Linked DNA regions of Pelodiscus sinensis. The protein of the gene in region 2 purifies or fractionates together with the protein of the main gene of each other region. This does not show direct contact. Links are inferred from orthologs where the notes say so. Each region holds a gene or a part of one and is shown on either strand. Other genes may lie near its edges.

Region 1 (7,896 bases), on a different chromosome or scaffold from region 2:
CGCGCCCCACCGCCGCCGCGGAGGCCGGGCTCGATTTGCATATGCTAATGAGGGTGAGCGTTCGCTCGCGGCCCCCGGCGACCCCCCCATCTGCCCCGCCCCCTCCCGAGACCCCGCCCCCACCTGCCGCTCCTCCGCCCTCGCCCCTCCCACTCCGACCCACCGTTCCCCTCCCCCGGCCCCTCCCCCTCCTCAAAACCCCTCCCCCGGCCCACCCCCTCCTCATACCCCCTCCCCCGCCCCCCACCGCTCCCCTCCCCCGGCCCACCCCTACTCATACCCCCTCCCCCACCGCTCCGCCTCTACCTTCCCCTCCTTGCTCTGTCTGCTCCCTCCCATCCCCCTCACACCCTGCCCCCCACTCCCCGTCTCCCTCCCCTACCGCCCTGGAAAGCCCAGCCCCTCTCCGGCCCATGCCCCCTCCTCCTCTGCCCCCCCCGCGCAGCCCCGCACACACAGCAGGCCGGCAGGCAGAGTTCAGTCAGTCACAGGTTTTAATTTGAAAAGAAGCACTAATGAGAACCATGCTCCGTTAGCCCCCCGCGGCTGAGCCAGGCCAGCACGACCCCCACCAGGCCCCTCGTGCAGCACGACTGCCCCGCTGCAAGGGCCCCACGGCCCGGGGACCCCGCCCACTCAAGCTCGCAGGGAAAAGGGCACCCGGCTTCCAGCCAGCGTGCGGGGCAGCCGTGCCCAGTCTGCGCACAAGCACGTGCAAGGGCGGGCGTCTGGGCAGATTCTATTTGCACAGCACCTCCGGCAGCAGAACCAGGTGACACCCGGCCGGCCAGTCCTGCCTTGCCCCCACCCTGCCAAACAAGCCCCGAGCCCGTTGGGGGCAGCATGGGGCTAGGCCGCGGCCGGAGGGGCAGCGCTATCTGCGGTACAGCGCGAAGGCCACGAAGCTGAAGAGCAGGGTGAGGCCCGCCAGGCAGGTGGTGGCTGTGGCGGTGAAGACGTGCCGGTACTGCAGCTGGAAGTACCACAGCGCAGCCAGCATGAGCACGAAGAGCGGCAGCATGAGGCTGCCCACGTTGAGGGCCGTGTGCACGGGGTCCGCGGTGGCCCGGAGGCCAGCAGCCACGGGGGCGGGGCCATGCTGGGACACGTGGCAGTGGAGAACGCTGTTGTGGGTGAGATGCAGCGCAGCCAGGCTCTGGGCATCCTCCCGCAGCAGCTGGCCCTGGTAGATCAGACGCACCTGGTGCTCCTGGCCGGGGAAATGGGCCCTGTGGTGAGACACAAGGAGGGCAGCGTCACTCCAGCCCCCCGGGAGCCTCTGAACGGCCCCGCCCAGCTCCCCCAGGGTCCTGTCTGCCAGCGGCCGAGTGATCTCTCCCGCCATCCCTTCCCAGCACCAGGCCTGGAGCAGGGGCTGTGTCCTGACCGCCCTGGCTCCGGGAACTGACCGAGTGCGTTTTCATCCAGCTTTTACCTAGCCACGCCGCCCCCGGCAAGGAGTTCCACAGATGGACAGTGCGCGGTGCCAAGCAGCCCTTCCTTCTGGTTGGTGTTAACGTCGCTAAGTGGCCCCGGGGCCTTGTGTTCTGGGAAGCGGTAAATAACACTGCTCTGACCCCCCCGCTCTTCTGGACTGGTCGACTCCGCCAGAGTCGTCTTTTTGCCAGTCCCAGTCTTTGCAATCTCTCCTCTCGTCCAGCCTCTCTTCGAGCGGACCACGGCCCCGTGGTTCTCGGCCCTTTCTCCCATTCAAATACAGCTTTTGAGACGGGATGAGCAGCAGCCTTCGCTGTGCGCTGAGCACCAGCTGGCTGGCAGAGCGCCCGCAGCCGTCCATCGCAAGCAGCGTGTTTCTACTGGTGGTGCACAGCCCACACGCTTAGTGCACACCAGAAAACTGATTCCACACGTGGACGGGAGAGATGAGGGAAGGCTGGCAAGAAGCCCTGCACTCAGTATTCCCCGTGGCAGCCGTAGAACGCCTCCTGTCGCATTACCTACCCCTCCCAAGGGGCCCCACGTTCCTGCCACGGCTGCGTGGGAACAGCCAGTCAGTCCCCGGCGGTGCGCGCGCTCGGGTCTGTGCACCCATCAGCACGGAACTGCATCTGCCACTGCGCGGCCCAGCCCCCGCGTGGCGAGCGCGCGTTCAACGCCTCAGCCTGCACAGTCCAACCTCCCTCCCAGGAGCCCCCATCGCCTCCGTGGCCTGGCATTCTGCCGGGTGCCCTCGCTGTTCCCGTGACCAGCGCTGCCAAGGCTCAGGCTACCACGCAGGCTCACCGCCGGGGGGTGGCAGCGGAGAGCCATGTCCAGCACCAGGGAGGGAGGGCCAAGCAAGGCCGAGGGATGCCAGAGCCTCTCCCCTCCCACAGGCGAGAGGGCGGCCGTGCCCCTCACCTCTTGAGAGAGCCGACCGTCTCGTCTGGGCGCACGGAGACCAGGCGCTCCGTGTCGTTGAGGAACTTCAGCCGCAGCACGGTGCCGCGCTCCGTGGGGCTACTGTCCACGGCCTCGGGGCTGGCGCCTGGGCCCTCGGGCGGCTGCGGGGGCCCCTGTGCAGATCCGGGGCTGGCCCGGTGCCTCAGCCCTGCAGCCGTGCCCTCAGGCCCATCTGGCGCGGCACCTGCCGAAGGCTCCGCCGTCTCCCTGGGCCCCCCTGCGGCTGGGGCCGGCGCGCCGGGCTCCCGGGACTCCTCCTCCAGCAGGCTCTCTGCCCCGAGCCGCCCAGCCGCCAGACTGGGGGGAGCAGCGAAGACCTGGTCCGCCCGCTCCGCCGTGTGCGTCGACACCCAGGCCAGCGCCAGCACCAGCAGCACCAGCAGCAGGCCGAAGAGGATGGTGACTTCGTCCCCCACGCCCTCGATCAGAGCCATGGCCGCGGGCCAGCGCCGGGACAGCCGGGTCACCAGCCTGCAGAGGGACAGAGCAGCAGCTGAGCGCCCCGGGCCCGCCCAGGCAGCAGCCAGAGCCCCCGAGAGCCCCTTTCCGCTGCTCCTGGCTTGGGGGGCAGGGCCAACCGGCCCCGCTGCTCCCCACAGCCTGGCACCGAGTTCGGGGGCCTGGCCGCCAGCTTCCTCTGGCTCAGCCACGACACGTGGGGCTCAGCCACCCGCAGCTCCCCCGTCACGCCGGCCCCCCCGCCCGCAGCTCCCCCGCCACGCCAGCCCCCCCGCCCGCCGCCCCGCCGCCCCCCCGCCCGCCGCTCCCCCGTCACGCCAGCCCCCGCCCGCCGCCCCCCCCGCCCGCAGCTCCCCCGTCACGCCGGCCCCCCCCCGCCCCGCCGGCCCCCCCCGCCCGCTGCCCCCCCTGCCCGCAGCTCCCCCGTCACGCCAGCCCCCGCCCGCTGCCCCCCCCGCCCGCAGCTCCCCCGTCACGCCGGCCCCCCCCGCCCACCGCCCCCCCCGCCCGCAGCTCCCCCGTCACGCCGCCCCCCCCCCGCCCGCAGCTCTCCGGTCAGGCCGTCCACCCCCCCGCAGCTCCCCTGCCACCCTGCCCCTCCCTGTCCGTAGCTCCCCCATCACGCTGGGCTCCCCCCCGACGCCAGCCCCCCCCGCCCGTAGCTCTCCCGCCACGCCGGCCCCCCCACTCCCCGCCACCCCCACCACCCGCAGCTACCCTGCCACACCAGCCCCCACCCACCCCATCCGCAGCTCCCCTGCCACACTGCCCCTCCCCGTCCCGAGGGCCAGGCGGCGGGGGCGTCCCGAGGGCCAGGCGGCGGGGGCGTCCCGAGAGCCGCGTCCCGAGGGCCAGGCAGAGCCGCGTCCCGAGAGCCAGGCGGCGGGGGCGTCCCGAGAGCCGCGTCCCGAGGGCCAGGCGGCGGGGCTGTGACGTAGTGGGGGTACTTGCTGGGCTGTGGTGACCCCTGCTGTCTGGAGCAAGACCCAGCAGGGAAAACCTCACTAGGCAGAGGTAGTGCCAAACTTGTTGAACCAGTGGCCAGACACCCCCCATGGAGAGGAACAAAGGAAGGTGGATGCTGCCCTGACTGGGGGGCAGGGCTGGAAGAGGGTTAGTAAGTTACTGTCTGGGAGCATGGAGGAGAGCCTAGGGAAAGAGGCTGGAGTTTAGGGGCCCAGTCTCCCCCCAACTCAAGGGGGCCTGAGGCATCCTAGCCCAGCTCTGTGACCAGACTACATCTGTGCTGTGCTGTATCCTGGAGAGGCAATAAACTTCCTCTATTCCACCGGCTGGTACAGTCTGTTTGTGCCATTTCGGGGTGCAGGAGGTGGGGAACCCCAACGCGCCGTCACACTGGTGTCAGGAGCGGGATGCACTGCACCCCGTGGATGGAGCTTCCAGTGGCAAGTGACAAGGCGCTGTAGAAGCAAGAGCCCTGGAGCCAGGCGTGCTGGAGGCAGAGAGAAGTGGTTCCTGGGAATCGTGGGGCGCTGCAGCACTAGACTGGTGAGTCTGCACCGAGGGGCCCAGCGGGCAGATGGCCTACGCCCGACTCTTGAAGGCAGAGCTGGTGGGGCTGTGCAGAGAGAGGGGCCTGCCCGTGGGGAAAGCAACCAAGGCCCAGCTGATTGCCCGGCTGGAAGAGAATGACCAGCCACAGGGCCAGGATCTTGTCCCCAGGGGGAGCAGCCAGACCCCTCCTGAGAGTGTGTCAGGCTCAGAGGGGGGGAGGAGCGCTGGAACCCACCGGAGAGATGAGACAGCGTCTCCCGGGAGGCCTGCAAGTAATAGCCCATCTAGGGCAGGGGACAGCCCAGCGGAGCTGCTGCGGCTGGAGATCCAGCTGCGGATCAGGGAATTGGAAGTAGAGGACCGAGAGAGGGACCGCCAGGACCGAGAGAGGCAGCGACAGCATGAGCTGGCCATGGCAGAGCGGAGAACCGGCGGGGCACCGGCTGCGCCAAGTGCGGATGGGCCCCAGGGTCCCAGGACTGCCAGATGCTTGGAGAGGCCCGTGGTGGCCCAATTGAAGGACATGGGTGACATAGACGGGTTCCTCAGTGCCTTTGAGAGGGCCTGTGGACTGCAACGGGTCCCCCCAGCTGACTGGCTGCAGGAGCTCATCCCCGCACTGAACCAGGAGGCGGCCGGAGTGCTCAGTCAGCTGGAGGACCTACAGCCAGGGGATTACAACCGAGTCAAGGAGGCCCTGCTGCACAAGTTCGGGCTGACCCCCGAGATGTACAGGAAGAAGCTCCGGGGGGTACAGAAAGGGCCACGGGAGACCTATGTGGACCTGGCCTCCCGCCTGGCGCAATACTGCCGCAAGTGGGTGTCTGGAGTCGGAGCCCAGACCACAGAGGAGCTGCTCAGGCTGGTCATGATGGAGCAGTTCTATGAAGCGTGCCCACCCAAACTGAGGCTGTGGCTCAAGGACCGGAGACCAGAGAACCCCCAGGAGGCCGGGAGGCTGGCAGATGAGTTCACGGAGAGCCGGTCCGGGTGTGAACGGGAGTCCCGGAGAGAAAGGGAACCGCGCAGAGACCGGATCTCAGCTGAGCGACGGAGAGAGTCAACTACGGGGCGAGCCCAAGGAACAGGTCGTCTGTGCCCCAGAGAACCAGCCAGGGCCTGGACAGAGACAGCCCAAAGCCTAACTTGCCATCGCTGTGGGCAAAAAGGCCACAAGAGGGCTCAGTGCACCAGGTCCCAGGACCGGGGACTTTCCAGGGTTAACTGGCTGGGGCGGGAGGAAGGGCAGGCTGTCCCAGAGGCAGGGGCTGGCAGGCAAACCTCAGCTCAGAGAGAGGGGAAGGGTGCTCAGTGCACCTCCCCTGGGAGGTCTGATTCTCAGGAGGCGGATTTCTCCGTGTACCGGGTGGGGGCAGGACGGCCCCTGCGGAGCGAGTGCCTCATACCCCTGGAGGTGGATGGTAGGAAGGTGACGGGCTTCTGGGACACGGGGGCGGAGGTGACTCTGGCCCGATCCGACATAGTGGCCCCAGACCGGATACTACCCCACACCCAGCTGACCCTGAAGGGCATAGACGGGTCCCCGTTTAAGGTGCCTGTAGCCCGGGTGCATCTGAAATGGGGGGCGAAGGAAGGCCTCAAGGAAGTGGGGGTGCACCCGCACTTGCCCACCAAGGTGCTGATGGGGAATGACCTAGAGGAGTGGCCCCATGAATCCCAGCGGGCTCTAGTCACTACCCGGAGCCAGAGCCAGCGGGGGGCTGACAACGTGGGTCCAGGGAAGGACTCCTGGCAGCGTCCTCAGGGTCCCATCCCAGTGGACACGGGGTCCAGCCAGGCTGGGACTCCGGACCTAGGCAAAGGTGGGGAACAGGTCCCGATCCCTGCCTCAGCAGCTGAATTCCAGGCAGAGGTGCAGGCAGACCCCTCCTTGCAGAGGCTGAGGGACCAGGCTGGCCTCCGTGCAGCTCAGCCCCGTGGGAGAGGTGGCCAGGAGAGATTCCTGGTGGAGCGTGGGCTCCTGTTCCGTGAATGGCTTCCCCCCAGGAAGGTGAGGGCATGGAGGGTCCAGCGGCAGCTGGTCGTCCCCCGAAAGTATCGCCTCAAGCTGCTGTATTTGGCCCACGATGTCCCCGTTGGGGGCCACCGGGGGATCCGGAGCACCCGGCTGAGGCTGCTCCAGCACTTCTATTGGCCGGGAATCTTTACAGCCGTGCAGCGGTACTGCCGGTCCTGTGACTCCTGCCAGAGGGGCGGGAAGGCCCAAGACAGGAGGAAAGCGGCTTGGGGGTCTCTACCCCAGATAGACCCTCTGGGCTTGCTGAGAGAGTTATGGGAGGGGAAGTCCTCCCTGGATGGAGCGTCGGGTGTGGGAGCCGCCCTGGTTGTCCAGAGAAGGCTCACTGGGCTCATGGCCCCGGCCCGAGAGACCCTGGCCAGAGATCAAGGCCAGTGGAAGGGTGGGTGTGACCCCCGAGGACAGGCCTGTGCCAGTCGCCCTGGAGCGGGGCGGCGAGTGGACAGAGGGAAGCCAGCTCATGTGGGGCCTCGCCACGGCCGGCCTGAGTCAAGGGGAGCACCCATGTCCCCAGGGCGGGTTCCCACGCAGAGGACCCGAACTTCCCTAGGTCACGAGCGGAGTGACCCTGCTCAGTTCGCTCTCGGAGGGGGGAGAACTGTGACGTAGTGGGGGTACTTGCTGGGCTGTGCTGACCCCTGCTGTCTGGAGCAAGACCCAGCAGGGAAAACCTCACTAGGCAGAGGGAAGGCCAAACTTGTTGAACCAGTGGTCAGACACCCCCCATGGAGAGGAACAAAGGAAGGTGGATGCTGCCCTGGCTGGGGGGCAGGGCTGGAAGAGGGTGAGTTTAGTTGCTGGCTGGGAGCATGGAGGAGACAGCCTAGGGGAAGGGGCTGGAGTTTAGGGGCCCAGTCTCCCCCATCTCAAGGGGGCCTGAGGCATCCTAGCCCAGCTCTGTGACCAGATTACATCTGTGCTGTGCTGTATCCTGGAGAGGCAATAAACTTCCTCTATTCCACTGGCTGGTGCAGTCTGTTTGTGCCATTTCGGGGTGCAGGAGACGGGGGAACCCCATCGCGCCGTCACAGGGGCGTCCCGAGAGCCGCGTCCCGAGAGCCAGGCGGCGGGGGCGTCCCGAGGGCCAGGCGGCGCGGGCGTCCCGAAGGCCAGGCGGCGCGGGCGTCCCGAGGGCCAGGCGGCGGGGGCGTCCCGAGGGCCAGGCGGCGCGGGCGTCCCGAGGGCCAGGCGGCGCGGGCGTCCCAAGAGCTGCGTCCCGAGGGCCAGGCGGCGGGGGCGTCCCGAGAGCCACGTCCCGAGAGCCACGTCCCGAGAGCCAGGCGGCGGGGGCGTCCCGAGAGCCACGTCCCGAGAGCCAGGCGGCGGGGGCGTCCCGAGAGCCGCGTCCCGAGAGCCAGGCGGCGGGGGCGTCCCGAGAGCCGCGTCCCGAGAGCCAGGCGGCGGGGGCGTCCCGAGGGCCAGTCAGCGGGGGCGTCCCGAGGGCCGCTTCCCAAGAGCCAGGCGGCAGGGGCGTCCCGAGA
Region 2 (8,215 bases):
ACTGCGGATCCGACATAAGTCGGATCCGCGTAACTCGGGGACTGCCTGTACACAAGTCCCTACTAACACTACAGATCAAATTCCCAAAACACAGATAAACTCTTCCCAAATCCAGTAGTCAGCCATCAGACTGGAAGATTGAAGCCATGCTGAAAAACCCAAAAGACCAAACTCAATCATTTTGACAGAGAAACTGAAAGACACAATTCTCTCTTAACTACACAAAATACTTCCTCAAGCAATTAGGAATAATGAATGCTTCCCATGAAAGCACAAGAAAGACTGCACAATTTTCTGAGTAGTAAGAGGCCCAAATAGCTTCAAGATGGGCATATCAGAACAGGGGGGCAATAGCACTGAACTCTGTTACTCTCATACCACCAATCCTGCAGTTAGATCCTCAGTTAGATTTTGCATGAGCTAAAATCATGTGGAAACAAAGTGATTCAAAAGGAGTCAAAGCAGCCTTCTTTGGGCCACCTCCCTAGATAGTCTATTCTACAGCCTTCTGTAATCAGTTCCAACTTAATAGAAAACATGGCCCCTGCTCTTCCCCAAACCCCTTAGACAGCCAGCATCAGACAGGAACTCAGACCTTGATGAGAGACAGGAACCCCAGCTGGATCCTAAAATGATCCACGGTCCCCATATGAACACCATGGACTTTGAACACCCTATCAATGGAGTCCAGACACCAGGGCTATGTCTACACTGTGGACACTCTCTTGCGCAAGAAAGCGCCGATGGCCATTTTAGCCAAACTGTCTTTTCCGAAACCACGTTGAAAACACCAAATCATTTTCTATTGGCCACACAGCCATCAGATGGTGGTGTGCACTCGCCTATCAGTCTAGGTTGGACTAGAACCTGTGACTTTAGATAGGAAAGTTTCGGAAATGCTATTACAGCTAATGTGTAAAATAAAAATTCACGTGGTACACAAGTTAAGAGGAAAGGATCTGTACATCTGGGTGTCATGCTTGGATTATCTAAGGTTAAACGTTTTGTTTAAGGCACATGGAACATACCATACGTAATCAGCATTAACTCAAAGGTAGGTACAAAGAGTTGTCCTGTGGCACCAGAGACTAACAAAAATATACATACAGGTTGGACCTCCCTGGTCCAGCACCCTCAGGATCTGACCAGTCCTGGATGAGGGAATTTGCTGGACAACGGGAGGTTACCTGACACCAGCCCCTCAGTCCCTTCCTGCTGCTGGCAACTTTGGCCCAGCCGGGCTGCCTTCTGGCCAGTCCCAGCTCCGCTGCCAGCTGGGCGGCACGATGTCTAACTGGGATGCTGCAGGCCCAATCCCCCGCTGGGTGGCACGTGGCTCCAGCCACGCTGCCTCTGCGAGGCTGCGCCAAGGCCCCAGCCTAGATTCCCCTCCCGTGTTGCTGCAGCCCCAGCCTTGCTGTCGGGCAGTAGGCAGCCCTGATTGTGCTCTGCTGTTGCTGCTCAGGCTGCTGCGGCATAGCTGCTGCTAGACTCACCAGGCTGCACCACTTTCCCAGCTGCTGGGCCTCCTGCTCTGGGGCTCTCTCATGCTGAACCACAGATGTTGCCAGACCAGAGAGACCTGAATTTGGGAGGTTCAACCTGTAGGATCATGAGCTTTCATGGGCAAAACCCATCTCTTCAGATGGGCTGGAAATGTAGGTGTGTAGGTTTAGCAGTACAGTTCTAAGGCAGCAGTGAATAAGTCTTTGGATACGTCTCCCAAGGGAAGTTTCACATACTTAGTCATGGAAAACAGATCTATTAATGGTTGGAGATTGTTCCTACACCACTGCCAAGCCCAGAGACTATCTACCTACCCCAACCTGGAGCCATGCACCCAGTTACCGTATATAATGGTTCAACAGAAAAATACACCAGCCTGATGGGAAAGTCTCTCCGGCCAGTGTAGGTGGGGTGAGGTGACTGATCCTAGGGTAGCAGCCAATCTCTCCTGTGGGTTAACAGCTGTTTGGAAGCAAGTCAGGCTTGACTGAGCTGTACAAGGGGGTGAAGACTGATGTAGAAAGTAGAGATGTAATAGTATAGTTGATTAACCCATAAGCAAACGCTCACAGGTTAATGCTACAGACTACATGCATTTCCCTCCCCTCCCTGCCAGTAATTTTTGTTAGTAGCCCGGCCAGCAGCCTGGCTCAGTCCTGGCTTGTGCTGGGTCCAGGATCTCCCCCCACTGTGGCTCTTGACTTAAAGTATATTAGGAGCCAGGTGGGCAGGCAGCTCCGCTCAATTCCAGCTTGTGCTGACCCCATTCCCGAGAAGCCTCCTGCAACCCTGAGCGGCTGCATCTCCAGGGGCAACAGAGTGGGGTGAGAGGAAGCCGGTCCACACGAGGAGCTGGTTTTTAAGTTGGCTCCTCTGGCAGACCAGCTCCCATCTGGCACCCTGCGCTGCTGCCTCTGATAGAGAGACAGCAGCGCAGGGTGACAGGGGACTCCCCGGGAGTGGGGCCAGAGCACATGGGCTGCCACTCTCAGGGACTATAGAATAGTCGACTAACTGATAAACTGTGAGGTTAATCGACTATTCATCCTTAGTGGAACGTGCCCCCAGTTCACACACACGTGGCCCTGCCCCTCACCTTGAGGAGGACAAAGAACTCGAAGATGCGGCGGAAGGAGGGTGGGAAGAGGCGGGCGTAGGTGACAGCCATCTTGAAGAAGAGGGCATGGAAGAGGCGGTCGCGCACGTTGATCAGGGGGTTCTGGTTGAGGTTGGGGTTCCGCACCCCCCGGTTGTTCCCCGCGGCAGCCCCACCGGCCCCGTTGTTGTTCACCGGGTGCTGGTGCTGGTTTGCATTGGGCTGGTTCTCCGACATCCTGGCCCTGTGGGGCGGGGGCACCCGGCCGTTTCGGGAGCGCGGGGATCACAGGCCTGTCACCAAGGTGAGGGGGAGGCTCGGACTCCTTTTGGGGGGGGGGGGGAAGCGGCTGGGGGAGGGGTGCTGTTCCAGACCAAATCTGACAGAACCAGCCCGGGGGGGGGGGAGGGGGGGAGTAGTTCAGCCCCCCCCTTCACACAGGACAGAGGGAACCGCTGCGAGGGGAGCCCGCGGGTGGGGGGGTCACACGGGGGGAGCTCAGGGGTGACCCTGGGGGCAGAGGGACACGGGGGGGGGAAGAGTAACGCGGGGGGGGGGGCCCGGGTGTGATACTCGGGGGGGCCTCTGGGGGCGGGGGGGGGTCACGCGGGGGGGCCCTGGGGGGTCACGCGGGGGGGCTCGGGGGTCACGCGGGGGGGGCACCCGGGGGGGTCACGCGGGGGGGGGCCACGCGGGGGGGCCCTGGGGGTCACGCGGGGGGGTCACGCGGGGGGGTCACGCGCGGCGGCGGGGCCGCGGCAGGCCCGGGCGGGGACGCGGCTCCTGGGCCGGCCCCGCGGCCATGGGGGCCCCGCTCCGCCTCCCTCCGCCGCGTCTCACGACCCGGCCCGCGCCGCCGCCATCTTCCGCCTCCTGCTGCCCCGGCCCGGAGGCTGCACCGCGCCAACGAGCGCGCGCCGGCCCGAGAGCGGCAGCTGCGCAGGGGACGCCGGGACGGTGGCGGGCCAGAGGGGCCGGGCCTACGTTTTAGCCTTATTTGCATATTCGACTAAGGCGCGCCCTGTGGTTCCCGGCATGCGCCGCGAAAGAAGCCTGGTTAGAAAATAAAAAGGAAATTAAAAGCGTTAAAACGGAGGAACAGTGAAAAAAAGCCACCGAGAGGATCAGGATCCGCGTGGTTCGTTCACTAGTGACTGAGGCACCCCAGCGCGGACACGAGGCAAATCACCCTAATGGAGAAATATTTCACTTCTGGAGGTTTAAATAGCTCCGGGGTTTCACTTAGATTCGTGCTCGCTTCGGCAGCACATATACTAAAATTGGAACGATACAGAGAAGATTAGCATGGCCCCTGCGCAAGGATGACACGCAAATTCGTGAAGCGTTCCATATTTTTGGGGCCTGGCTGGCTTCCGCCTGGTTCTTCCCACCGCCCAGCTACTGAATCCACTGGGGCAGCTGCTCCCCAGGAACCTTTTACAGCCCAAAGCTCAGCGCAGGGCATCACAGCTCAGAACAGGGCAATTATCCACCCTGTGCCAATCTCCCAGCCTCTGAAAGGACACCTGGAGCATTGGGCTATGTCCCAGGCAACCTTCCTACTAATTTTTTTCCATCCACGTGCGGAATAATTTGATGTGCACTGGGGCATGTGCGATGTGCACCACCAATAGAACCACATCACCTGGCTGTTTGTCACTCTGCTAATCAGCAGGGCAGCGTTTGAATTTCTCTTGAGCAGCTGCTCAAGGAACACTGGGCCCAGGCCATCGTGGCTAATAGCTAGTGACGGACCGGGCATGTCGAATTCTTCTTTGAACCCAGTTATACGTTGACCCTCCACAACAGCCCCTGGCAGGGAGGGTTGTGTGTCTGGGTTGTCTGATGGGCCATGGAGGCGGGGGATGGCTTGACTGCGAATGTGTTTTCAAGCTGCTGTGTTTCAGATGCTCTGTAACTCGCAGCAAGCAAGTAACACTTTACCCAGTAGGTCTTCTGTGTTTGGTTCAAAAACTCTCCTTGGGTCCTAGCCGGCAGGCGGCTCTGTGCAGCCTAGAACTGCAAGGGCAGGTAGTAAGAGAAGTGCAGGTTTTTCCCAAGCGCTGTCTGGAAAGAGGGTTAAAGAGCTGGAGTAACCCATAGGAGGAAATTCCCAAGTGCATCTTGGGGGGCGCAAGGGGTGTTTGCCTTGGCTGGTGGCAGCCACACCAAGGCCAGGGAATCTGTGACCATGGGGAGTTTTTTAAACAGATTCCTTTAGTGGCCTGGTATTTTAGAGTCGCTTGCCGGCCCCACCCTCTGGGGCGCAGCCTTGAGACGGGGAGAGGCCAGAGACTCCGTCACAGCCAGGCCGCTCCTAGGCCACGCCCTGGGCTAGGGCTCCAGGCTGAGTTGGAGCCTGGGCTCACAACCCCGCACACCCCCCAGACAGCCCCGCGGGACAGCAGCAGCCCCCGCTCAGGCAAAGCCACCAGGCCCCTTCGGCCACAGCTGGGCCCTGCCGCCTGCACGTTGCCGGGGCCGAGCAAGGCGCGGGCGAGCGGCACCTGCCTGGCTAATTTCTAAGGGGCCGGGCAGGTGGGAGGCCCTGCACGGATGAATTCACACAAGGCCCCTGCTGCGTGGGCGGGGTGACTCCGTGGGGCACCAGGGTTGCAAGAGGAGAGAGGGACCCCTGGGGCCTCCCCATGAGCCTGCGGTGAGGCCAGCCTGCCGGGGAATTCTGGCCCCCCTGCCTGGCTGGTAGGAAGGACGCTGGCGCCAGGGCTCTCTGTTGATCCGGGCTGTTTGTGTTGCTACTGGTGCAGTGGCCTAGGGGTGTGTGTGTGTGTGTGTGTGTGCGTGTGTGTGTGTTCAGCTAAGGTGGCGCCAGCAGGCGGGAGGCCTGAGCCGCCCGAGAAGGGCTGGCGGGGAGCCCCAGTGGGGGCGTTCCCGAGGGATCCCATCCCCAAGGCAGCACCGGAGGCCCGGGCTGCACGGTCACACGCTGCACCAGGCCTTGGCAATTCGCCAGCGCACCTGGAGAGCCGGCTTGGTGTTCCGGCACATCCCTGCCTCAGTCACGCACTGCTCCACGAGCCCCTCTGCCTGCGAGCCCATGGGCCACAAGCCCCATGCTGGCAGCAAGAGAGAAACTGGCTGCAGCCACATCTCTGGCCAACCTTACAGAGGAGGCTCTGAGACCAGGCTTCCCTCTCATTTTTTCCATCCATGGGGGAATAAATTTTGTTCCGTGCACCGAGGCATGTGCGGATGTGCACCACCAGTTGAAACAGGCTGCTGGCTGCAGGTGCTCTGAGAATCAGCTGGGTGGCATTTGAATCTCTCCTGCGGGGGCTGCCCAAGTGCCCAGCTTACAGGGAACACTGCCCGAGACCTGCCCCTGCCGGGCACCAATACATCCCAGAGGCTGCACCGCCTCGTGGCCACCCCCTGCCCCCACCTGCGTGACCCAAGCCGGCCGTGGGCTCACAGCAGCCAGTAAGCGCCGCAGGGAGGGGCAGGGTTCCCTGCTCGGCATACGTCCTGCGCTGAGCACAGTGGGGCCCCGGCCTCCAGAAACTGCTCTGAATTGAACCCTGATCCGTACCCGTCTGAGCGTATGAGGCCATCACTAGTGCGGGGGCAGGGCGTCTATCCAAGTAAGGGCTAGGTCCTGGGAAGTTTGGGGTGGTGGCAGTGCTAGCTAATGGTTAGAGCACAGGCTTGGGCAATCTGGATTCTATTCTTGCGTCTCCCACAGGCCTGCCAGTGGTACGTCACAACCCTTTCCTGGTGCCTCAGTTTCCCCATGGGGATGATGCTACTGCGCTCCTCTGTAAAGCCCCTGCTGAGCAGTGTGAGCTAATAACCATCCCGTGCGTGTCTCTAGCAAGGCTGGCAGGGAACAGGGTCACAGGCAGGGATCGGGGACGGCGCCCAGTGCAGGGGGCACAGGGATCCGGGGGTCGTTGGGGCTGCAGGCAGGGGAAGGAGCCGGGAGTCGGAAGTTGCAACCTGTGAATGAGCCAAACCCTCTGCACCGGCCCATGTGAGCAATTCCACCTTAAGAGACACCGGCCCTGCCCCCCCGGCAGCGGCCCCCTGCTTGGTTACTGTCCCAGGCACCGCAGAGCAGGGGCCACCCCACGGCGCAGCCCAGCACTGGGCAGGTGGATGGATCTGCCCAGAGGGGAGACACCAGGGCACGGCCCATGCTGGGAACCTCCGACCTGCCTCCGTGCACGGCCAGCCCCCCGCCTCCTCCAGCGTCTCCCTCCGGCTTCCCCCCCCCGCACCCTCGCTCCCCACCGGTACCCGAGCGCCCACGGCTGCCCGCCCCCCGCCGGAGGATGGGCTTGGGGCACCGGACGGAGGCGAGAGCGCAGCCGAGGCTGCCCCACTTCTCGTGGACGGACTTGGTGTTCCGCCCCCCACCGGGCCAGCCTCCGCGGGAAGGTACGGCCCACGATAGGTCCCCGTCCCCGACAAGCCGGGACAGCTAGACCAGTGTGTGTGTGTGTGGGGGGGGGGGTGTCTGCATGTGTGTGGGTGTGTGTGTGTGCGTGAGTAGTGTCTGAATGTGTGTCTGTGTGTGTGTGCTTGTGCGTGTGCGTGCGTGTGTGCACGACGGGTACTGACATGCAGCCTCCTCTGGGGTGGGCCGGCGAGCGGGAGGACAGCTCACAGCTGGTGTTTCATGCCGGCGCAGAGGGGGCCGGGCAGCTGGAGGTGCGGTTGGGAGGCGGCTCCAGCTGGGGCCCGGGTGCGTCTGAGATGTCGGGGGCTGGGGGGGGGCAGCACCTTCCTTTGCCAGAGGCCTTGGCACCTCTGCGGGGAGGGATTTAAACACCCTCCACTGGCCTAGTGCCGTGGGGCCCAGCCCCCCAGCCCCCCCTCTGGACCCAGCGCTCCCCTCCCCTTCCAGGCCTCCCCGCGTCGGACCCCTGCGGCGGGGGGCGCAGGGCGGGTGGGCGGAAGCAGAGCCAGCAGCCAGCTCCCCTGGCCGTGGCCCCCGGCCCGGAACGCGGCACAGGAACGGGGGCGTCTCCAGCCAGCGGCTGCCCCGCCAGGCCCCCCGCGGAGACCCCGGCTGCTCCCCCGGCGCCCCGGGAGGCGGCCAGAGAGAGGCCCACGCGCCGGACGATCCTGGTGGATCTGCGCCCCGTGCTGGAGACGGTGGCGGAGCCCTGGGAGGGCCGTGCGGAGCCGCGGAGCCGCCCCAGCGAGGGAGGCTGCGCCGGTGCCGTAGAGGCAGCCAGGGACGGTCCTGCTTCCGGGGCCATCTCGCTGCCTCCCAGTGCGGCCCAGCCCCGAGGCAGCATCCCGGGGCCGGCAGCGCACAAGCCGCCCGGTGGCCAGGCTCCAAGAGACGGCGCGCCCGCCCGCCGGGCTGCGGCCCCGCCGCCCTTCCCACAGAGGCTCCCCCCGCCGGGACCCGCGCTGCAGCCGCCAGCCCCCCCCAGGGGCCGCTCAGCAGAGATGGTGAGTGGCACCTCCCCCCGGCACCGGGCCCTCGGCTTCCACCCGGCCTGCGGCAGGTTTCCTGCTGCCAGCGCCGCCGGCCGGCTGAGCCCAGCCCTCTCCAAGAGGAGCCACCCAGCCAGGCGGTTCCCTGCCACGGGCCTGAGCGCGAGGGGCGTGGCCTGGCCGGGCCGGGGAGAGGAGACCACG

Evidence for each region.
Region 1: the proteins of TMEM259 (region 2) and TMUB1 purify together in Homo sapiens (affinity purification with mass spectrometry; 3 studies listed by BioGRID, with this or other methods). This does not show direct contact. The link is inferred for Pelodiscus sinensis from reciprocal best matches to the Homo sapiens genes TMEM259 and TMUB1.

Annotation. Positions count from the first base shown.
Region 1 is NW_027466049.1:4,751-12,646, reverse strand, and holds TMUB1 (transmembrane and ubiquitin-like domain-containing protein 1), read right to left. Parts: upstream 3,054-7,896; 5' UTR 2,838-3,053; coding exon 2,362-2,837; intron 1,230-2,361; coding exon 875-1,229; 3' UTR 477-874; downstream 1-476. Other genes in the region: FASTK (fas-activated serine/threonine kinase), read right to left, coding at 1-90. UniProt on the Homo sapiens protein: Involved in sterol-regulated ubiquitination and degradation of HMG-CoA reductase HMGCR. Involved in positive regulation of AMPA-selective glutamate receptor GRIA2 recycling to the cell surface.
Region 2 is NC_134729.1:16,439,995-16,448,209, forward strand, and holds the start of TMEM259 (membralin), read right to left. Parts: upstream 3,109-8,215; 5' UTR 2,840-3,108; coding exon 2,603-2,839; intron 1-2,602. Other genes in the region: uncharacterized protein LOC142818988, read left to right, coding at 6,757-7,000, 7,470-8,026. UniProt on the Homo sapiens protein: May have a role in the ERAD pathway required for clearance of misfolded proteins in the endoplasmic reticulum (ER). Promotes survival of motor neurons, probably by protecting against ER stress.